4 separate regions of the Mus musculus genome follow, and all the other regions are reported to be linked to region 1. Evidence: microRNA targets listed by miRTarBase, many of them from high-throughput screens and not tested one by one. Region 1 holds a microRNA gene; each other region holds the end of a gene's coding sequence.
The links. The annotated mature microRNA mmu-miR-16-5p reads UAGCAGCACGUAAAUAUUGGCG and lies in region 1 at 2,683-2,704, shown strand. An mRNA with a match to its seed (bases 2 to 7 or 8) in the 3' UTR can be bound and repressed. Matches are read on the target gene's strand: a 7mer-m8 pairs with bases 2 to 8, a 7mer-A1 pairs with bases 2 to 7 and ends in A, and an 8mer does both.

Region 2: the mRNA of Cadm1 is a reported target of mmu-miR-16-5p. Seed matches in the 3' UTR shown: 7mer-m8 at 1,333-1,339.
Region 3: miRTarBase lists Erlin2 as a target of mmu-miR-16-5p. Seed matches in the 3' UTR shown: 8mer at 2,954-2,961 and 7mer-A1 at 2,490-2,496.
Region 4: miRTarBase lists Irgq as a target of mmu-miR-16-5p. Seed matches in the 3' UTR shown: 7mer-m8 at 2,367-2,373, 7mer-m8 at 2,387-2,393, 7mer-m8 at 2,390-2,396 and 7mer-m8 at 4,786-4,792.

What each region holds. Positions count from the first base shown.
Region 1 is chr14:61,628,724-61,634,639 of GRCm38, reverse strand. It overlaps Mir16-1 (microRNA 16-1), which reads left to right and starts at 2,668; the gene lies at 2,668-2,760. It overlaps Dleu2 (deleted in lymphocytic leukemia, 2), which reads left to right. Exons shown (of 7, transcript NR_028264.1): 4 at 2,157-2,203. Mir15a (microRNA 15a) reads left to right here and starts at 2,530; the gene lies at 2,530-2,613.
Region 2 is chr9:47,849,757-47,855,653 of GRCm38, forward strand. It overlaps Cadm1 (cell adhesion molecule 1), which reads left to right. Exons shown (of 11, transcript NM_207675.2): 11 at 516-3,629. The coding sequence ends at 634. Among named protein-coding and RNA genes, the nearest start is that of Gm10677, 34 kb to the left of the region's middle.
Region 3 is chr8:27,035,241-27,041,156 of GRCm38, reverse strand. It overlaps Erlin2 (ER lipid raft associated 2), which reads right to left. Exons shown (of 12, transcript NM_153592.3): 11 at 5,064-5,143; 12 at 1,720-4,724. The coding sequence ends at 4,521. Among named protein-coding and RNA genes, the nearest start is that of Plpbp, 4.4 kb to the left of the region's middle.
Region 4 is chr7:24,533,054-24,538,969 of GRCm38, forward strand. It overlaps Irgq (immunity-related GTPase family, Q), which reads left to right. Exons shown (of 3, transcript NM_153134.3): 3 at 213-5,547. The coding sequence ends at 1,434. Among named protein-coding and RNA genes, the nearest start is that of Irgq, 5.4 kb to the left of the region's middle.

The DNA of each region.
Region 1 (5,916 bases):
GGAACTGAACCTGGGTCTTTTACAGCAACAAAATGCTCTTAACCACTGAGTAACTCTGCAGCCTTGCAACTTGAATTTCAAAAATTTCCATGTAAAAAATGAGCAAATTGAAATACATATTCAGTTGTCAGTGATCACCATACCTGACTTGGCCTAAACAATCAGTTTAGTTTTCCTTTCATAGCCATTAAATAAAATTTGGGTATGTTGTTGTTGTTGTTGTTGTTGTTGTTGTTGTTGTTGTTGTTGTTAGAACAATTTCTTTTTCAAATATGTTACATAAGCTCATTTTCCTAGAAAAAAATCACATGGAAATGGAATTTTTAACTATTTAGTAGTATGCCCTACAAATGATTCTGTCACTTTTCACATATCAAATTTTAGAACTAGGAATTTAAAATGTTTAGAGAAGAAACAGTTCCAAAGATTTTATAGTGGCATTATTGCCACATCAAAGATATTAACATACCCAGCTTTTAACTTCCCAAATTTGTTGCAGTATTTCATGCCTTTAGCTTTGCTATTTAAGTAGATTTTTTGTGCCCTGAGAATTGTTGCTCTGTCATCAGAACTTAAACCTGGTAGTGTTTTCTCCATGTTCTTAGACAACTTCATAAGATGGCTATGGTTCAGAAGCGTCCTACAAAGGCTTATATGTATGTTAATGGTTCATTTGCAGATAGGGAACCAGAAAGGGTCAGTGTACTAGAATAACAGCCATGGGAGACACTCAAAGGACAGTGTCAGGGTTCGGACCTCAGATTCTGTATTCTGTCATTGTGCTCCAACAAATTACTGGTTGCTTATTATTAAATTCAAAAAGTATCCCATTATTCTGATGCAGTCAAGATGATGATATAGCTTGGGCAACATGCCTATAAATGTTTGTGAAGTGCTAAGCTTTATGGAAACAAGATGAATTAATATTAGAAGTTTTATAAGGTAAAAAGTAAATGTTTCTAAAGAAAAATATTAATGGAAACAAATAGAGTTGAAGGGGGAAATAGGACAATTTGGTTTGATCTATCTTCTTAAATTGTTGTAAAATTCTGTTTTCTTATACGAATAATATTAATTTCAGGTATTTAAAGATTGCCATGTATTCCTATGTACACTCAAGTTACCTTCTTAAGCAAAACATTTTGTTTTCTTTTCAGAATGGCTTTTTTTTCCTTTTAAGAACATTAGTAAAAAGTTGAACTATGTAAAAACCCAACAAAGAAAAATTATTTTGGTCCTTAGGCCAGAATATAAACCACTGAATTTGGAACGGGGCATGATGGTGCACGCCTTTAATCCTAGCATGCAGGAGGGAAACCAGGCAGATAGATCTCTGAGTTCCAGTCCAGCCTGGTCTATAGAATGAATTGCAGGACAGCAGCCACTGTCCTCAAAACCTCTCTCAAAAAACCACTGAATTTGAAATTATAATCATTGTATAAAGATAAAGGACAAAATCACTTTTAGCAGCTTTTATCTTTATTTTCAGACTTTTTTTTTTTAAGCTGGCACACTTGAAAGCAAAGGTTTGAAGATTTAAAGACGTTTTGATATTTCAAATGACCCAACATGAACGGGAATGGAGAAATGGCATTGACCCACTAGAAAACATTTGCTACACAGTAATCTAGTTTGAATGGAAAATCTGGTATGAACTGGAATAATAAGAACAGTTCTTTGTGAAGGGATGGCTAAGTCCCCCACTAAACAGAAAAGAGTCTTCTTAATAGTGTAAGAAAACCTAGATATTCACACACACATAAAATGAAGTTGGAACTTAACGTAGTAAAAATTTTGTTTCAGCTAAGTCAAAGTCCTGTGGTATAAAATGATACTCCTTTAAAGGACTAGCCTTTTTAACTGGGAAACACACAAATGGTTACTTAGGCTTGAGCTACAGGATTTCTGATATATCCTTTTAGGAAACCAAATAGACCTGTTATCCTAAGATGATGTTCTGGGTAATAATAAATGACACTGAACTCACAATAACTATTCCAATATTGAGATAAATCTTGTGTTCATGTGTAGATTGGGGGTTATATATTTTTGGGGAATATGTTTCATGTGTATGTCTTCTAAATATTTTGCTAGTATAAATTTCTTGAAACTGAGCTCTTACATGTTTGTTCTTACATGTTTCCTTTAACATGAAGCTTTGTCCTATGGATTTGGCTTTGAAAGATGTGCTGCTCTTAATAAGGTAAAAACCAACTTTTGTAGCTATTTCATGTGTTAAGCACATTCAAAAGTTGTTAGTTTAATAAATGAGGTTCTTAAGTTGGTATGGGAAAATGACTTGCTTTTCTCGTTTCATGACTACAATAAATTACAGCACTGTATTAAGTTTTCTGTACGCTTTTATTAAACTTATGATATGGAAATACTTTTTATTCTGCTGAAAGCCTATAAAATTATGCACATACCAGTGTTAGATTTTTTTCAAACATAGATTTTATGTGTTCTACTTTTTCCTAAAAAGCCTTTTCTGTAAATTACTATTGAGGTGCTAGGAGTTTTCAAAACCAACCCTTGGAGTAAAGTAGCAGCACATAATGGTTTGTGGATGTTGAAAAGGTGCAGGCCATACTGTGCTGCCTCAAAATACAAGGACCTGATCTTCTGAAGAGAGTACCTGTCTTTTTATTCATAGCTCCTATGATAGCAATGTCAGCGGTGCCTTAGCAGCACGTAAATATTGGCGTTAAGATTCTGAAATTACCTCCAGTATTGACTGTGCTGCTGAAGTAAGGTTGGCAATACTCTACAACTGTAATTCAATGTGTATTGATGTTACTTGTGTGTTTACACGGTTTTTCTAATTGCATTAGTGATTTTATGTTTGGTATGATTCTGTAATGATGTTAGTAACAACGCTCTACATATTGTGTCTGTTAAAATACTATATAATTGTGGGATGGTAATGCAGCTCAGTTGGCCAAGTGCTTCTTGCTAGCATGCACAAGGCCATGGGTTTTAGCCTTACCACTGCATACCAGGTACACTTGTAATCCTAGATCTGAGGAAGTGGAAAAAAGAGAATTAGAGGCTTAACATCATCCTTGGCCATAAAGCAAGTCTAAGACCTATGTAAGGATCTGTCTTTTAAAAACAAACAAAACATAATGACTTCTGTGTGAGGAACTGATTATAGGACTTCTAGATACCCAGATTTGTAAATGCTTGGATCTCCTGTATAAAATGTCTGCTCGTGACCAGTGCATATCCTCCCTTATACTTATTTAAACTTATCTCTACATTGTTTTTAATGTGTAGTGCAGTGGGATGTTAACATGGATAGTTGTATTATTCAAGTTATTCTCTTAATGATGAGAAAAAAACTGTACAATTCAGTACTAATGCAGTTTTTGTCCAAGAAATAAGTTTTTTGGTTTGGTCTTTTGAGCCTGGGTCTCACCATGTAGACCAGGCTGCCATGAAACTCACTGAGATCCTCTTGCCTCCGCCTCCCAAATTCTTTGTTTAAAACTGTAGGCCCCAATGCCTGGCCACCCAAATGTTTTGAATGTGTGGTTGGTTGGATCCACAGATGGAGCACTGACTAATAATATAACAAGTATTTTTAAGTCTTGAACACCTTTCCAGAGTTTCTTGAGAGCTACAGTGGTACAGAATATACCCAGTACCACCAAGGCTCGAGCTCTCTTTCCAGCATTTCCATATAAAAGTTTATTTGAAAGAGTTTAGGAAGTACCAAATTGTACATGAATTTAAACTCATATTATTACTTATAATAGAAAAATACTTTTCTCTTGATTTGAAGTTTTCTTTAGATACAGATAAAGTTTGAAATGCTACAGATTATAACATAATCTTGAGTATAATGTGCCTAAATATTTCATTTTAAATGAAGGAGAATAACACTAAAATGTGTACGTTGAATTTTTAAACTTAAATTTAGAAGAATCCTTAGAATAGCTGACCTTTTTATTGGTTAACTGAGGAAACAATCTGAAATTTAATTTGCAACCTATGACATATTAGGGTATAAATCCTATATCTTCTAACTTAATAATTACTGTTTTTCTTATTTTTCACTAAAATGTTTAACAGGAGATTTTTATAAGTCAAAAGTATGAAAGACATCTCATCTGTGCCTTAATATTTAACTTCAGATTAAAGCTAACAGTCATTAATTTTATAAATATATTCAGAATATTTTAATTATTTCAAAGGAAATGTTCTTTTTTTTTTTTTTTTTTTTTAAAGATTTATTTATTGATTATATGTAAGTACACTGTAGCTGTCTTCAGACATTCTAGAAGAGGGAGTCAGATCTCGTTACGGATGGTTGTGAGCCACCATGTGGTTGCTGGGAATTGAACTCCGGACCTTCGGAAGAGCAGTCGGGTGCTCTTACCCACTGAGCCATCTCACCAGCCCGGAAATGTTCTTTTAACTATCCCATGTGCTTTATTTTAAATGTTTTACGTCATTATTTTAAAATGTTCAAGAAAACACATTATCTCACAATAATGTCCTCTAACTCTGTCATTACTTTTTACAAGGAGTCTCTTACCTTTTCAGATTAAAGGTTCATAATTAATTCTACCGTGTGTTGTGGAGATCCTAAAAGTATTTCAGTTATTTTTTAAGGAATTGTCCTCAAAAGAACCACTACTCAATTCTAATTTAAAGGTAAAATTAAGTAAGTTTTAACAAGTTGATTTAATTAACTATAGACTCCGTTTTTGGAGCATTTTTTCTGTGTATGAGTACACTGTAGCTATATTGATGGTTGTGAGCCATCATGTGGTTGCTGGGAATTTTGAATTCAGGACCTCTGCTTGCTCCAATTGGCCCACTCACTCCAGCTCTGTAGCTGTCTTCAGACACACCAGAAGAGGGCATCAGATCTCATTACAGATGGTTGTGAGCCACCATGTGGTTGCTAGGATTTGAACTCAGGACATTTGGAAGATCAGTCAGTGCTCTTAGCCACTGAGCCATCTCTCCAGCCCCAAAATTTAAAGCTTTTATATGATAATGGTATTGCCTCTTTTACAAATCTCTGTGGGCCACTGAGGTAAGCATTTGTTACTTAAGCATGATATCTCTTCACAGCAATAGAAAACTCCTTAAGATTACTTTAATTGTATATAACTTTTCCCACTACTTTTCATAGGGAAGAAATCGCCTGTATATATTAAAATATACATTTAAGTGTAAATTTTAAATATATTTTCACTGACTTGGAAATCTAGAGTTCATTTCTATCTTTGTGACTATTTTTGAATCATAAATAGTAGCAAAATTAAAGTTATACACATTTACATTAATAACTAGTTATCTTTCAAGGAAATAATTAGACGTGGATGTTCTCTTGTGATCTAGAGTTTTACACATACAATTTTACAAGTTAACATTCTAATTAAAATTGGTTTGTTTGGTTTTTTTTTTTTCCTTTTGCAAAGGAATATTACTATCCTTGTATGATATATTTTTTCTCAGTGTTGTTTCTCATTAAATACCATCCAAAAAGAAAAGAAAATGTCCTTAATTGTTTTAAATAGATTTGGATCAGCATGTATTTATACATACTACTTACATATCTTGGAGAAGAAATGAAAGACCGTTAATGCATTCCATCTTCCAAGGAGTTAAGGGGTAGCTTAGAATGAGTTTATTTCTAATACCTGGAACCTTTTACTGCACAGCTTATTCGTCCACCAGAAACTGAAGGGGTCATGTTCTTGGCTTGTATGTTTATGAAGTATGTCCTAGGCGCAGTTTCCAAGTCCTCTGTTCCTTTTTCACTTTCTGTTGTTTTGTTTTCCTTTGGTTTTCTTTGTTTTCTTTCAGTGTGTAGTCATTAAACCCAGAACCTCAGAGGGCTCTACTACTAAACCATATACCAGTACCAAAACCGAAAAATATTGACGATACTTTTGTGCT
Region 2 (5,897 bases), not on the chromosome of region 1:
TTACCCAGCGCATCACAGTCTCCCCGTGGGTAGCCAGTAGCCATTCATGAAGCCAGGAGACTATGGTTGGAGTAACTGGTTCAAGATGGCAGTAGAAGCATCTTTGGGGCCCTAATTCATTTATTGGCTAATTGCTCTTCCTTGCTTTGGTCTTTAACCATGTGCGAACATTTCTTGTCATCGGTCTTTGGTGTTCACTGTTAATTCGGTAGTCAGCAGCTCTCCAGCTTTCTGCATTTTAGCCCCACTCACGCCTTCTTCTCTGGTCATAATCACTGCTCTAATGTCTCGTTTGCTGAATTACATCGCAGCGGCTCAGTTGGAGTGGTTACCTTTGGAGCCCGGATTCCCATCTGTCTCACCCACCCTGCTCTCTTCTTCCTATTGTTTTTTCCCCCCTCTGCTGCCTGCACACCACTTCGGCTGATGATGGCCATAAAGCAACTTGCCATCTCTGTACCACTTCTCACAGAGGCCACCAGAGAGTCACAGTGCTTTACCCCTTCATCTTTCAGGTACATACTTCACTCATGAAGCCAAAGGAGCCGATGACGCAGCAGACGCAGACACAGCTATAATCAATGCAGAAGGAGGACAGAACAACTCCGAAGAAAAGAAAGAGTACTTCATCTAGATCAGCCTTTTTGTTCCAATGAGGTGTCCAACTGGCCTGTTTAGATGATAAAGAGACAGTGATACTGGAACTTTCGAGAAGCTCGTGTGGTTTTTTGTTTTGTTTTGTTTTTTTATGAGTGGGTGGAGAGATGCGAGACTGGGAAGGCTTGGGATTTGCAATGTACAAACAAAAACAAAGAATGTTCTTTGAAAGTACACTCTGCTGTTTGACACCTCTTTTTAATCTGGTTTTAATTTGCTTTGGGTTTTGGGTTTTTTTGGTTTTTTGTTTTTTTCATTTATATTTCTTCCTACCAAGTCAAACTTGGGTACTTGGATTTGGTTTCGGTAGATTGCAGAAAATTCTGTGCCTTGTTTTTCATTCGTTTGTTGTGTTTCTTCCCTCTTGCCCATTTATTTTTCCCAAAATCAAATTTGTTTTTTTCCCCCTCCCAAACCTCCCATTTTTTGGAATTGACCTGCTGGAATTCCTAAGACTTTCTCCCTGTTGCCAGTTTCTTTTATTTGTGTTAACGGTGACTGCTTTCTGTTCCAAATTCAGTTTCATAAAAGGAAAACCAGCACAATTTAGATTTCATAGTTCAGAATTTAGTGTCTCCATGATGCATCCTTCTCTGTTGTTGTAAAGATTTGGGTGAAGAAAAAAAAAAAAAAAGAAAAAAAAAAGAAAAAAAAAAGAAAACACTGAAAACTCTTTGCTGCTGCCCATGTCTTAAATACGTAGAGCAGCGAAGACTAGAAACGTAGACTGTGACCCAGACGCTGTCGTCTGCTGTGGATCTTCATTACTGTACAGGGTTATCTGCAAGTGAGGTGTGTCGCAATGAGATTGAATCTGTCGTTAATTCTTTATCTGTAGGCGGCTCAGTATAGATTACCCCACGCTGTGCAGAAAGTTTTTGGAGTGGAAAGGTCTCCTCCTTCCTCGTTGCCCTAAACAGACCCGACATGTGAGGTCTGTCTGTTTTATGTAAGTGGACAAATTTGAGATGTCACAGGAGGGGAAGCAGGGAGGGGGTACGACAGTTCTGCTCTGATTATTTCTACTCTCAACAATTCCATCCACCTTTCCCAATTGGCCTTACTGCTCACTAATGCAGGAGAGAGCAAGTCCGTGTGCCGTGTGACTGACTGGAGGGGACAGGCTTTGTTTAGGTTTTTTTTACCCCCACTTTGGTTTTGGTTCTGGGTTGTTTTGCTTTGTTTTGTTTTCCTTTGTTCTTATTAAGGACGGCAGTGGGCTGTGTCCTGTGTGTACTGTATGTTACAGACACCGTCCTGCTGGGACACTTGTCCTGCTGGGATTCCCAGCTCCCACCCCCAACTCCTCTCATTCCTTCAGATTTGGCTTGACAAAGGCAGGAGGTACAAAAGAAGGGCCAATTTTGTTCTGGAAAGGTCAGAGCCCAGAGTCGAGGTGGGAAAGTGGCATATAGGGATTTCCAGTTACTTAATCAAAACTCAAAATGTGAGTGTTTCTGTCTTTCGTGCACTAGGCCTGGCCTCTTACCTCAGCCTTAAGAACCATCTGCCAAAAACTACTCATCTCGCATGATGGCAGCCAGAGCGCATAGCTACTAAAATAAGTTTCCGTGAACATATCTTACACCGGAGCCTGAGGAAAGATAGAGGCGCAAAGGAACCCTTTGCATTCTCTAAAGCTAAGTGGGGGTTTGCAGAAGTGCTGGGGTCATCTAGCAGTAGTTCTGAAGGACAGAACCTAAACTCTTACCACACGTGTCGGTAAGCTCCAGACTCCAAAACAGCCCCTCTGGAAAGATGGCATCAGAAAAGATAGATCTATCTATATATATAAATATATAAATATATATTATATATAACATTTTCAGTCAGTACTTTTGGATTTTGCAAGGTGCATTTTTACTATTGTTACATTATGTGGAAAACCTACGCTGATTTATTTAAGGGGAAAAAAGTGTCGACTCTGTTCTTTGAAAGCGTATTTCTTTTTCTTGTCTTTATTTTAACTTCTGATAGAACCACTGCAATATGGGGGCCTTTTGGGAACGGACTGGTTTGTAAAGGAAAATTCATTATGGAGCAGTGTTTTGTTAACCCCTCTCCTGCCCCTAGGCACTTAACCAAGACAAAAAGCCACAAGGAACATCCCTTTTTCAAAAATTTTATAATGTGCATCTATTCCGAGCCCTTAGCACCCATCCTGACCATAGTGACCATATCAAAGGGTGACAACCAGTTAGCATGTCGTTGAAAGGGTTTTTCAGCTGTTCTTTTTAGAAAAAAAATATATATAAAAAATATTTAAAAAAAAACAAAAAACAAACAAACACAAAAAAACTACCATTGTTCACAGAATTGGCATCTCATTTTCGGGACCGCCCATCTTTCTGTTTTGACAAGTGTACAGTAGTGCAGTGTTCTGATGTAACTTTATGGCTTACAATGTTGACATGTCTCAGGTTCCTGTGTTTCAATTGGTGTTTTTCCGTCTCAGGTAGATTGCAAAGTGTAGGCCCCACACATTGGAAAAATAATAATAATAATAAATAATAATAATAATAATAATAATAAAACAAAGCAAAAACAGGAAATTATGGATTTTAGTTGTATATTGGTTTATGTATTTTTCTTAAGTATACAGTGCACTGTTTGAAATGTATTGTTGAGTATTACTTTGTACAGGTTGATCACTTTTTTTAGAGTGAAGAAAGAACAAACTTGGGTTTTTTTTGTGTTTTTTTTAAAGGAGTATAAAATAATGAAGGATGTATAATTGATGCCAAATAAGCTTGTTCTTTAGTCACGATGACGTCTTGTTTTTCCCTCTAGGCCAGTTCTGTTTCTAAGGTGTACAAGGACCATGTTACAGTGTAAGAAACTCCACATCCGTGTGTTCCCATTCGCATTTTGTATCGGTTCATGTATACCATTTTTACAAAAAGAAAAAAGAAAAAAAAAGAAGTACTATAAAATATCTGTCTTCTTAATAAAAAAATTAATGTTACAAGTGATCCTTTAAATCTCTTTCTGGATTCTTAAAACACACGGCCTCTGGTCCCAGCTTCCTCTCCTAGGACCTTGTGTGGGGCCCAGAGCACTGGTGGCTGGGAAGTGGCTGCGAGCTGGGTCTCTCTCTCTCTATCTATCTCTATCTCTTTCTCCTTCTCACCCTTATCCTATCCTCTTCCACCCTCAGAGTAGACAGGAGAATCCGGTGTTCGGCTGAACAGAGTTGCCTGCAGTAGGCGCGGTGCTTTGTGCAGGTGTGCGAAGCACAGTTGCCCGGGAAGGCGCCTCCTGTGGATATGGCCACCACCACCCTCCCCGCCTCCACCCACCACCCACTCACTTCCCTGTTTTGCCTGCTCCACCCGCCTTTTTCTTTGGGAGTCCGAGTCTTAACAATTCATACTGCCTTCTTCCTTTTAAAGTTCTCTCCTTTTACAAAATGAAGAGATGCGCTGCTGGGTCGGCTGCCTGCGGATTGCTCTCACTTACCGTTTAGGTCTTGGAGACTTCAGGCCCGGGTAGACTTGGAGAGCCAGCAGCATGGAATCACCATCCTTGCCTTGCAGGCGAAGTTAGCAATGACCACACTTGTTGTCCACGAGCACAAACCTGGCCACCCCTAAGTGCCCTTTCTCACCGTTCACCCAGCTCTCGCTGAGTCCCCCCTCTGTCTGTCAGGTAACCAGGAAGGTGTGGCAGGGAGAGACAAGGTAAGCTCCAGGAAAGACAAAGGCCGGGCATCTCATTTGGGGTTTTTAACATCATGGTCTGGTCTCTGGTCTGTCTCTCGAGCAAAACATCACCAACAGAATCAGTTATGCAGTCACTAAATGTCTGGCACATCGACACTGTGGGGCTGTGGGGGACACCGATATCTGTAAGTGGCCACAAGAGACTAAGGTACCAGTTACCTCAGTGAAGTGACCTCGGTGGTAATTGCCACACCCCGGGCAATAATACAGACCAGTAGGGATTTCTTGGGGAAGGGGGATAAACAGAAGCTGGCAAGCCTGCTCAGTGGAAGAGGCAGGAGCCTGGTCAGGTTTCCAAGGACATTAGAGAAGAAAAGTGACTTAGGTGCAGAAGGCAGTGCACCCAGGCAGCAGGTGGCCATGTGAGGAGTGACACGCTCATGAATGGCGTCCATCCTGTGCCCATCCTCATAGTCTAGGCAGAACTAAGGGAATCCATTGGCCTCTCCGGCTTTTGCCAGAGAGCAAAGATGAACAGGGAAGATGATCTACCATATCTCTATAGGACAAGGGCAACTTAGGATAGCACTTGAGAGCCAAAGTAGACCCATCTTGGTTTTAGATAACTGCCCCACCTTTACTAGCAGTGAAGCCTCCGGCATGTTACCCAAGGCACCTGATCTTTGTCTTTTGTTGGGTGAGGCAAGATTATACGTTATAACCTCAGAGATCATTAGAGGACAGAGAATAGATAGATACACAGTCCTGGGCTGGGAGTTCAAATTAGTGACAAAGCAAGCATGAGGTCTTGAGTTCCATCGTCAGCACACCAGAACGATGATAAACTGGTGCTTAGGCAGTATAGGTGCAGATAGGAAGTAAGCACTCATTACATGTTGATTTAGAAGGACAAGGTTGCCTGTGGCTATAAGAACTGGCCACTCCTTGGAGAAAACTATCTGTGTGGACTCTTCATGCCTTTGTGAATTTTTGCATAGACTATTTAAGGACTTCCTCATCATGGTTCATCAATATACTTATTTGTAGTTACTCTGAGCCACATGGCATGCTGTACGTGCGATATCCTTACCCATCTCCTTGCCTATAACATGAGGTTCCAGGTTCAACCTCAGCCCACAGAGCAGCGACCCTGCTGGTCATCAAACTGAGGCAAATATTGGGTGGTAGCTTGGCTCTTGAAGCACAGTAGGGCATGCAAATGAGAAGGAGCCTCAAGCCACTGAGTTACTACACAGTGGATATGTTTCCTGGGTCCCTCTTAGTATAACACAAAAAATATAGTCCTTGCTTCCTCTAGAGGACTCTCGAAAATGTTTGGCCTGATTGTGTTCTCCAAATACATCAACTGGAACCCCAAGGTGGTATCCAGGTGTTAATTGGTGCAATCTTTCATTGTCCCCTATCTAGTTGCAATGTTACTTTTATACCATGGGCTTGCTCTATAGAGAGCTGTTCCTCGGAGTCTGTCATCCAGACCCTTAAAGCAGTCACCACAAGACCCTCCTTAAGTAAGACATTTCTGTTGTGTTATAAAATGTGGCCTCAGATTCCTAACGC
Region 3 (5,916 bases), not on the chromosome of region 1:
AAAGAAGCTGTTTGTGTTACAATGGATAATGATTAACAGAGTCACAACTGGTCAAAGTGCTCAAAATAAATGACTATTGAACCCTATCAGAGCATCTGTGCTACCTCCTTCAAGGTTCAAAGAACCTCTTGGAAGAGGGGGGGGATATGGAAAAAAACAAAACAAAACTAAGAGCCAGAGGGTAGTAGGGAGGTGTAGTGTGAACTGCTATATCTCCTGTGCCCATTACCAACGGCGACAGCTGTGGTCACCTGTGCAGGACTGGGGCTGTGAATGAGGCGGGAGCTCCTGAGGATCGTGGGACAGCTGTGCTTACTGAGGAAGGGGAGCCATATTTCTCAGTGGTGTTGCTACTAGAAAGTTGCCCTTGCCTAAATAACTCACAGCTCAGGCTTATGCAAGCAACCCTACTTAAAAGAAAAATAAAACGTAGGGGAACAGGATGATGTGCCAGAGGGGTGATATCTAGGGAAGGCTGCCCCCTTTTCATAGGAAGGGGGAAGGAAGAATGGAGGGAGGAGCTGTGTGTGTGTGTGTGTGGGGGGCCTGGGAAGAGAGAAGGGGCTGATATTGGAATATAAAGTGAATAGATAAATAGTAAAGAAAAATAACATAATTCATTAAGTAAACTCAGTTTTAGTGAATTTTTTTTTTTAAGTAAGAAGGGGGCTTGATGGGAAGAAAAGTTTGATGGGAGGGTAAGGGATTAAGATGCTAATGTGTGTGTGGGGGTTATGGTCAAAGTGCAAATTGTGAAAGAACCATTTTCAAAAAGAAAGGAAGCACAGTGTAAGAAAAACATAAGAAAACAACAATGAAAAACATGGTGGGAAGCGCACGCCTTTAATCCCAGCACTCGGGAGGCAGAGGCAGGAGGATTTCTGAGTTCAAAACCAGCCTGGTCTACAGAGTGAGTTCCAGGACAGCCAGGGCTATACACAGAAACCCTGTCTCGACACCCCCCCCCCCAAAAAAACCCCCAAAACCAACCAACCAACCCCCCCCCAAAAAAAAACCAAGAAAACTATGTTGTGGCAGGGTGGGGGAGAGGGAGATGGCTCAGAGGTTAAGAGCACTGGCTGCTCTTGAGGAGGACCCTGCTTGATTCCAGCAAACAAGGAACAACTCAAAACTGCCCCGTCCGGGAAATCCAATGCCCTCAGCTGGCCTCCATAGGCACCAGGTATGCATGTGGAATACAGACATACATCAGCAAAATACCCTATACTACATACACTAAACCAAAACCCAAACCAAGATATCCCAAACTTGTTATTTAAAAGAAAATATCCAGTTAAATGCAAATTTCAGATCAAGTGCAAATTCTTCTATAAAAGTAGGTGTTGTAAAACATTTGGATGGTATATAGTTTTTGTAAAGTTCACTGACATTAACATTTATCTAGTGACACTAGGCGAGGCAGCTTGCCACAGCCAGTCTGGGAGTTACCTACTTAAACTGATATTACATGAGGTTAGGGTCAACTGGGAATGCCTTTATCTTCTGGAGAAATGCAGCAATGTGTTAATTCTGTTTGTTTTTGCCATAGTCTCACTATGCAGACCAGGCTGGGCTCAAACAGATCCTTCTCCTCGGGTGCTGGAGCTAAAGGCATGTACCAGCATGCTGGTAAGAATCTATATTACCTGGATATATTTTTAGGGAAAGCCTAAGAAGGAAGTTTGATTTCTATCACCTGTCCTCCAATCTACTGGTAAATTTTACCTTAATCAAAAAAAGACAAAAACATTTTATTTAGCAAGACTGAAATTAAATCCAAAATGTAAGTATATTCACATTGAGACCTTTTTTTGTTGTCTGAAACAAATCCTGGAGCTATTAACCCAAGGTAATTTATCTAGTGGTATCATTTATGGAATAATTACTATAACAAGAATCATTTCTCAGTTATAAAGGCTCATTAATGCCCTTGGGGCACACTGAAAAAATTGCTTTAACTATTCAATCACCAGTTTACACAGAAGTAGAGATAAAAAGGAATGGAAGTACAAACACATGATTGCCCATTACAGCTTTTATAAGGAAACAAACAGTGGCTAGAAGCCCACTGAGGACAAGGAAGTAGGTAAAGTTCCCAGACAGAGGGGCTATTGTCCAGGTAGTTTACCGACGGCCAGCTGACGACAGCCCAGGTCAGTAAGCACGGCTATCTCACTTTCACAAGACACACGGCCCCACAGGCCGTTTATACACCTCCCTTTTCAGAGCACTTCATTCCTCCTCAGTACCCACACTGAGTCCTCCACACCTATTTTTAGTTATATAAAAATTATTAAACTTAGGCTTCCTTACAAACATTCTAACCATATATTGAAAAGTGATTAAAAACCTATATGGAATATAAATTGCTTCTGCAACATTTAGTGAGTGAGAAGCATTCTACCAAGGTGGCTGGGCCTTGGGAAAGTCCTACAAAAACTGAATTTTACAAACGGTTAACGTATTTTGATAGAAGTTCTACTTAAAAATAGCAGCTATGAATTCACTGCCTACAAAACTGCAGGCTTATCACATTTTACATGTTTAGAATTCAAATGCCTAAGTCAGATTTTATAGTATTACAAAAAACAAGGTCATAAAGACAGATGGGCTAGGCATCCCATGCTAAAAAGACATCTGAGTTCCATGATTTTACTGCTGGGACAGATACCAATAGCTACTGAATTTATGCTATGACATGGGGACATTTCTGTTCTGTTAAAGAAGTGACATTAAAGGGGCAGGGAAGGAGCAGCTGCAGCAGGACTTTACTGTGGCTCTTTGTAATGGAGGGATGAGCTCTCAGAATGCTAGTTACAGAGCCTCTCGGGCTAGGAGGGCGCTGGATGGCGGGGTACCCTCCCTCCTGCACCGACTCCACTGAAGTAGTGTTTTCTCAGGTGCACGTACAAGAGAGGATGCTGGGTATAGCACGTTGCTCTCAACAAGTGGTTAGCAGCAACAAATGAGAAGAAGATGAGTTGGTCTTGGGGAAAAAAACCCACTTTTGCAAGAGCTTTTGAGCACATTAAAATGTCCTTTTCAGGAACATTTTGTAGTTTGTACAGTGTGGCCAGGGTCAGTGGCCTGAGGAGTCAGGACAGAGAAGGGAACATCTGAAGTAAGCACAGTGAACCCTGCCTCTTTTTGGGTCGGCTGAATGCTTCCCAAATACCTGACAAGTCTGGTGCCACTTAGGAGCAAACTGGCCCGACTTACAAAACCAAAACTGAGGTGGGAATTGATGCCAGAAAATACCATTTATAGTAGTCACCTAAGAGAGAACAGTAGGTGCTTTGTGTGGGGGGAGGATGAGGTAGGGGACCAGCTAACAAGGCCAAGTCCTAAGCTAGAGCCAGTCATGGTTGCACAGGGTACTGCCATGTCTGCAGATTACCTGCAGAGCTGCCCTCCACAGAGGCATTCTGTGTGCACTCACAGGCCATGGTAGAGCCCCACCCCCAGTGCAATTTCAGGATAAGAAATCCCTTTCTCTCATATCTATTCTTCGCATTCTCAGTTTCCTAGGGTGACTCACTGGAGCCGACTCTCAAGTGGCTGCCTGCTCTCTTCATCAGTGTCAGACAAAGCCCCAGCACAGGCCACAGGCACTACTACTTGGGTGTCATCTGGCTGGGCCCTTCTCCACAGTGTTAAGGGCTCTTCAATGAAGAATCTCCATAATGATAAAGATGTTTGGTCTCAAAAGCATACGCATAATTAGCCACACAGCACCACAGTGCTAAGGGGTATAAGGAGCTACGTCATCAGCTAACAGCACTTGTTTGTTCCCATCTTAACGCTGAGTGCAACTCATGAATAGATTATTCAAGAAGAAATGAAATCACAGATCAGGTCAAAGTACGGAAAAGGAGTGTGTGGTGTGACCAAGCCCTGCTGCGGTGAGATGTAGCCAACAAACACTAGAGCAGAGTACAGTGTGTAGAAAACCTTGCAAAACCTAGCACCAAGTTCTTCCTAAAAAGGGCTCAAGACAGCTTAACTCTCAAGTAATCCACTCAGTCAAAAAGCCCAGCCGGCCAACGCTCTCTGCAGCTCATGTTCCGCAGCAGACGGCCTTCTGTCACGAGCCCCACACGCAGACACTGCCTACACTAGAGGCAAGGGAGAGAACTGTGGAGTACACTTTTCCCTGAAGGAATTCAAGCACGAGGAGGCAGCACACACTCTCCCTCTTCATACTGACAGTAGCTCCACTTAAACCAGCTTCAAAGTGACAATGTTGGTGTCTGCAGGTCAGAGGTCAAATCTACGGTGCATACACCTTCTCAGAAGTCATACAACTTACTTACCTGAATTAAAAATAAACCCAAAAAACAACTCTCCATCTGCTCTCCCTTCCCAGAAGGGGGTAAGTTTGTGTCCATTTCTTCCTTTTTAACCACAGTAAGAAGAGTCAAGGAAGGTAGTGTGGAAAGGAGGAGCGCTTTGCTCTGTCTCATCTTAAAGAATACAGCTCTCTCTAAGCTGCCCGAGCAGAGCTTGCAGACAGTGTTTCCTCAGTTCTCCTTTGTGGGTGCCTCGAGGGGCTCATCTTCTAGGCCAAAGCCCAGCTTGTCGTCGCTCAGCCCCTCAAACTGCTTGCCCAGCCCCCCTGCGGAATCCATAAACATGTTGGGGATGTCTTTGCCGAAGTAAATCTTGCTGTTGGAAGCAATGGCCTTGTACTTCATCAGCTGCAGGTATTCTGGAGTCAGCTTGAGCTGTGATGGAAGTGAAGAGAGCTTAGGGAGGGGACACCAGAGAGGAACTTCATCTGGGGAGGGCATCTGTCAAGCAGACATGTGTTTGCATGTCTCATGGCCTCCCTGTTACCCAGAAACCATTTTTTTCTGAGAGAAAATAATCTAAGGTCTATGACAGAGTAGCAACAGTTTCCAGAGTTTTCCTGTTCAATACAAAATGAAGCTTCTATTAAGGCTTCCCACACAAGAGAAGCGCTGTCTAACCCAGCAGAGGGTCCTCAGTTCTGTTGTGAGGGCTCTGGGTAGCGAGCGGCAGAGGCAACACCTCCTCAGGACGGTGGGTCAGGCGCCCTTTACCTTATTTGCTTCTGCGATCTTCAGCGCTGTGTAGCACTCAGCGTCGGCCTTCGCCTTCTCCCGGGCCAGGAACGCAGCATCTAAGGGGTGAAGGGTGCAGGGAACTGGATCAAGTACAAAACCATGGGAGGTACAGTCTGGGGGCTGGCAATTATAGCTCAGTGGTATAGACAGCACTTGTCCAGCACACATAAAGTCCAGGTTCCATTCCTGGCACTGCAGAAAACAAAAACCCAACAAAGACACTTTCTGGTCTCCATGGCCTTGGAGAGATTGTTTTGTGTGTGTGTGTGTGTTTTGTGTTTGAAATGGTCTCACCTTATAGCTAGGCTAGCATTGGACTATGCAGACTTCCTGTTAGTACAGAGAAACCAATTCTCTAAAAGAAAGTAACGTGAGATCTTCCCGACAGTGCAGCAAGAGCTTTGGTTTACTGCAGGACACCTCCATCTGGCTTCATCATACATGATGTACACTATGCATATCATATGGTGTCACCCTGACCCTGCCTTTCCAGTGCTGGGATTACAAACATGCACTGCCTTGCCTGTTCAATACCACAGATGACCCTTTCCAACTTCATCTCCCCAAAGTTTCTAACAGTGATGAGGTTGGCTAACTCTAGATTCGTGCATGCTGGTCCAGAGGAGCGCTGTCTGGTTCAGACCTGCTTCAGCACTTCATGTAGCAGTAACCCTCCGGCTCAGTGATGATGCCCAGCTCAGCTTTGAGCCCTGTGGCCCGGGGATGCGCCAGCTGCACTCCAATCACATTCACAAGGAAATATTCAGGGGCAATAATTAATTGGGGATGCTGGTTTATGGTTGTTTTTGTTTACTTTCCACCATTTTAA
Region 4 (5,916 bases), not on the chromosome of region 1:
CCTGCCTCTGCCACTTGTGCAGAGATTGCAGAGATTAAAGGCGTGCGCCACCACGCCCGGCCGTGCCTTCTTTCTATGTGCATTAGTTCCCTACTTAAATTCTTGAGATTCAGAAAGATTTTTTTTTTTCCCGTAATTGCTCGTTCAGCCCAGCTTTTCCTACTTTTAAAGCTCTGTTGCCTTTGACCGATCTCCCACCCTCTCTCCTGCAGGCTCCTGCCTCCTGCCCAGGATGGCTTCGAGGTGTTGGGCGCAGCCGAGCTGGAAGCTGTTCGTGAGGCCTTCGAGACCGGTGGCCTGGAGGCGGCGCTGTCGTGGGTGCGCGCTGGTCTGGAGCGCCTGGGCAGCGCACGACTGGACTTGGCGGTGGCCGGCACCACCAATGTAGGCCTTGTGCTAGATATGCTGCTGGGGTTGGATCCTGGAGACCCAGGTGCTGCGCCTGCCTCAGCACCCACTGGGCCCACCCCTTATCCTGCTCCAGAGCGCCCCAACGTAGTGCTCTGGACCGTTCCCCTGGGCCCCACGGCCACATCTCCTGCCGTCACCCCTCACCCAACCCACTACGATGCCCTGATCCTTGTCACCCCCGGGGCTCCCACAGAGGAGAACTGGGCCCAGGTCCGCTCATTGGTGTCCCCAGATGCTCCACTCGTCGGTGTGCGCACGGACGGCCAGGGCGAAGATCCACCCGAGGTTCTGGAAGAAGAAAAGGCCCAGAATGCAAGTGATGGGAACTCAGGGGATGCACGCAGCGAAGGAAAGAAAGCTGGCATCGGGGACTCGGGGTGCACTGCCGCTCGGAGCCCGGAGGATGAGCTATGGGAGGTGCTGGAGGAGGCGCCTCCGCCCGTGTTCCCGATGCGGCCCGGCGGTCTCCCAGGCCTCGGAACCTGGCTCCAGCACGCACTGCCCACAGCTCAGGCCGGAGCTCTGCTGCTGGCGCTGCCACCTGCAAGTCCCCGGGCGGCGCGGAGGAAGGCGGCTGCGCTACGGGCAGGGGCGTGGAGGCCAGCCCTGTTGGCTAGCCTGGCGGCGGCCGCCGCCCCAGTACCAGGGCTGGGCTGGGCTTGCGATGTGGCGCTTCTCCGGGGACAGCTGGCCGAGTGGAGGCGCGCGCTAGGCCTCGAACCCGCGGCCGTAGCACGACGTGAGCGCGCCTTGGGCCTGGCTCCCGGAGTACTGGCAACGCGCACGCGCTTCCCGGGCCCGGTGACGCGAGCCGAGGTAGAGGCCAGGCTGGGGTCCTGGGCAGGTGAGGGCACGGCGGGAGGTGCAGCGTTGAGCGCGCTCTCCTTCCTATGGCCCACGGGTGGTGCTGCGGCAACAGGTGGGCTGGGTTACCGTGCTGCGCACGGTGTACTTCTACAAGCCTTAGATGAGATGCTGGCTGATGCGGAGGCGGTGCTGGGACCCCCAGAGCCCAACCAATGAGGTGTGCGGTGGGGCTTGGGGTGTCTGGTGACTGGTTTTGGCCCCACAGCCTCTGAGATTAAGAAGTGACGTTTTGTTATTCAAACCCGGAGACTTGAAGGAGACTGACATCTCGTTGAAACGTGAGATTTACAGTCACCCGATTTCCTAGGTACTGAATGGGAGTAGGGTCTATGCGCCAGAAGTGTGTCATCCAGATACCAATGCAGTAAAGGGAGTTGAGGGCCTGGGACTCAGTAGAAATGGGAGCTTCTTGGCGTCCCGCTGACACCTGGTCATGGATCTCTAGAAGCCTTGATCCCTGCCTGCCTGTGAGCGAAACTGCGGGGAGATAGAAGCCTTGGAGTGCTGGCTCCCAAAAGGAAAGAAGTATAAGTTACCTGATGAAAGAACAGATTTTTGTGGGAGCTGTGAGAGCCTTAGGAAAAGTCTGGTTCCTAAGAAGGCTGTGGTTGCCATTTCTTAGGTGGCAGGAAGCCCTGTGGAGACCAGGGGCCTGCTGGAGACCCTTTAGTCTCTTGGAGTGCAGAAGATTGTCAGTCATTTGCTCTCCAAAGCTTTGGTGTGGACGATAATGATCCACAACATTGAAGGGAAGGGACAAGGGAGTGTGTGGGTAAGGTTGTCTTCTGACAGCTAGAGCCTAGGAATGGGGTCTTTAGGGTATGGAAGATTAGAAACCCACACTTGGAAATACTTCCCGTGGGATCCTGGCAGCTGCCTCTCCGAGCTTTACTGGGAAGGTGTGACTACCCCCATTTTATAGGTGCTGGGTGATTCAGGGTCTCTGGCATGCACGCTCCTGTTTCTCTTTATTACTGGTTTCTTCTGTCATATGGACCTTAACTGCAGGGCCTCAAAGTGATGGGCTCCTGCTGTAGCAGTCTATGTGGTTTTTCTGCATGACCTCTTCTGATTTCTCCCAAGACACCTGCTGCTGGTCCACATAGGATGCTGCTGCTGTGTGTGTGTGTGTGTGTGTGTGTGTGTGTGTGTGTGTGTGTGTAGGGGGTCCCCCTCAGGATAGCTAGGTAGGCCTTTGATGCCGTGGGAAAGTGCCTGGAGGGAGGCATAGGCAGAAACCACATCGCTGTCAGTTTTGTAGCTTTGTGCAGGTAGGACCACGGGGTTCAGAGATGCAGGCCAAAGGCTCATCAACACAGCGGGACAGTGTGTGGCCTGGCCCTGCCTCTTCTCCATTTTCAGCCCATCTCCAGCAAGCCTGATGCCAAGGTCCCACCTCAGGACTTATGCATTTTCTGGTTTTCTGTGGGACACTCTGCCTCCCTGTCTTTTTTTGAGATAGGGTCCTCATCTGTCAGGTCTCCCCGAAATGGCTCTATGGTCACCCAAAGTAGCTTGCATTGATCCTGCCACATGGTAGTCCCTGTAGTGAACATTACTACCAATGGCTGTATTCTCATTCTCTCACTTGCCTGTTCGTTGGCTCTTGCTCCTTGCTTGTCTTTCTCTTGGGTGTACCCTAGCACCCAGAGCAGTGCCTGACACACAGTAGGTGCCTAGTATTTATTTTCTTAGTTTACTGGTCACTGGCACATGGCCTGGAATTCAGGTTGTCATAATCTTGTTACAAAGAGGGAGAGAAGCAAGCACCTGGTGGGAGAGCGAACGGTAGCAGCAGCTTGGCCGCTGTCACTACATGAACGAGGGCCATGTATTTTCACCTGGTCGATGAAAGGACTGGGCTAGACCCATAAGAGCTTCTGAGGGCTAATCAGAAGCCTGCACAGCTGGGCTTTGCTCCCATCTAACCCTGAACTCTCACCTCTGACACCATCCGCCCTACGAGGAGGCACCTTATTCGGGCGTTCATGCCTGTAATCCCCGCACCTCCGGTTGACACAGGAGAATTTGAAATTTAAGGCAGTCTTCGGTGAGAGAGGATTGCAGGCCTGTAAGCTATGCGCCTGTTCCCACTAGAGTCTAGACGGGCCTTGAACTCCACACGGTCTGGAGCCAGCCTGATACTAAGTCCTTGATGCTTGGGTTGGCCAGCTTTGGCCCTGCCTCAGCCTCCCCAGTGCCGGGATTATGACTCTAAACCATCCTAGATCAGCCTGACACTCTTTTCACTAAATCATCAGAACCAATGTGTTCCTACACCCAAGCACACCTCATCACACAATACACCTAATTGGAAATACTTGAACTGATCAATGGAGGGCCCAATTCACATACCCGTGTTTCAATTATATCGATAAGTTCCCCCCAATCATGGGGTTTTGATCAGTGCCTCACATATTAAAGGCAAACACTCTGCTGGAACCATGTACCTAGCCCTGTGCTGGGCTGCAGGTAGGGTTCTGGGCAGGGGCTCTACCACTGAGCCACGCCCCCAGCCCCTCACTGGGGGATTCTAGGCAGGGGCTCTACCACTGAGCCACGCCCCCAGCCCCTCACTGGGGGATTCTAGGCAGGGGCTCCACCACTGAGCTACATCATATTTCAAGACAAGGTCTCACTAAGTTGCTTGGGCTGTCCTTGAACTCACTTTATTCCAGACAGGCCTTGGAATTTGGGATCCTAACCCCTCAGCCTCCCAAGTAACTGGGATCACAGGCCTGCCTCACCTCCTGGCTTAGTAGTTTTCCCTGAACCTGTGATGTTCCAGTGGGTCAAGTACAAATAGAATCTGAGATGGATTTCCCCCCCCCCTCGGTGGCTTTATCCACATACTTGGATCATAGTTCAACAATACAGTCTATTGTGAAAAATCATAACAGCATGAAAGTGAGACATTGCAACCACATTTGGGAAGCTGAGAAATCTTTGTTTCACCCCAGGACCACAGCGCTATGGAATAGTGTTTCAAACAGTAGGTTTCCTCGCCTCATTTAACATAGTCTAGGCACTCCTCCACAGCCATGTCCAGGGTGAACGTAAATTCTGTCAGTTAATATTAACCATCACAGCAGGCATCTAAGAACTTGCTCTGTTACATGTGCACATGTGTGGCTAAGCATGCACACACTGGCATGTGAATGTGCTCACACACATACCCAGCTCCCAGGTACTGCAGCCCCCTCTGAGAAGCTTGACACTCAAATGCTACTCCTCTACTGCCTGGGCCCCACTTCCCTTGGTCTGGCTACAGTAACAGCCAAACTCGGTCTCCTATTAAGTGTCCTGAGCTCTCTAAACCCTCCATGTCTTTTCTGGTATTTTGACATAGCTTAGGCTTGCCTTCACCTCGGCATGTAGCTGGTGATGGCCTTGAAATCCTGATCCTCCTGCCTGCATCTCTCCAGTGCCAGGGTCAGGCACGTGGCATGATGCCCTGCTCTCACTGTGGCTTGCTTTGGTGCCACCTGGCATCCCCGTCCTGTGCTTTGCTGCTCTCCCTTCTTGAGGCAGGAGGCCCATGCTAGATGCATCGAAGGAGCATATTGTAGCCATTGTGTGTGTCCTGGTCAGCTCCATAAACTTGTACAGGGCACTTTTGTGTTTTGTGATTCCTTGCCCATTTTTGTTCTGTTACTTGAGATAGAGGATCCAGGCTGTCTCAAACACTTGGCGCCAGGTGCTTCTCCGGTCCTAGCCTCTCCTTGTCCTGGGTTACAGGTAGAGGTGGCTGCCTTTTAAACTATGATCTCCCACCCCCACCCCTGAGATAGGGCCTTACTCTACAGCTCTGGGCGTCTAAAGAGCTGGGATTACAGGTGTAAATGACTACATATGTTGCCCATACAATCTTTTGTTAGGATTTTCAGGCTTTTCCAGAATGTAAGCAAAGCAGATAGCCAGGCCCCTGGAAGCCTCCAAATAGGAAAGGTTCAGTCTCCCTCGTCACAGGCCACCTGCTGCCAGCAGGGTGCTCCCATGAGGCACCTCGGGTCTGAAAGAGCCTGGGCGCAGGAACTCTGGGAAATGTCAGTCCTCCATGCTGGAATTGCAGCTACACAATCTTGGCATTGCCCTTGAAAGACGAGCAGGTTTCAAACGTTGGTGAATGGATGAGGTGCCCTCCTCAACATGGAGAGAGTCTCACACTTCTGGCTCATGAAGGAGCTGTCTGTTGGAATGTGGGGGACAAATCTGTCTGGTAATCCTGTGGTGTGTTTTGGAAAAAAGAATAAAAGGGTAGGAATGCTATTATGTGTGTCTTCTATTTAATTTATTAATTTTAATTGTGTGGGTGTGTGCTGTGAAAGATGCAGTTTTCACCTGCTGAGCATCTTCCCTGCCGGGCAAGGTGGTGATTTTCAAATGCTTTTAAGTTTGTGATGGCCAAGCAGCTGAACTCTTGAGCCAGCGTGACCCACTGTCCCCCAGTCCAGCCTCTCCGTAGACAAGCACATGGATGCCCTCTCTCAGTCTGGCTCTGGATTTTAGCCACAGGGACGACAGCAAATGTGATGCAATCAGAGGCTTCAAGAGTGCGCATGAATTGAACTTCCTCTCTGCTATCCTTGGGCTCCCTGCTGTCACTGCCACACTGAAAAGCCTACAAAGCTAAGGGTT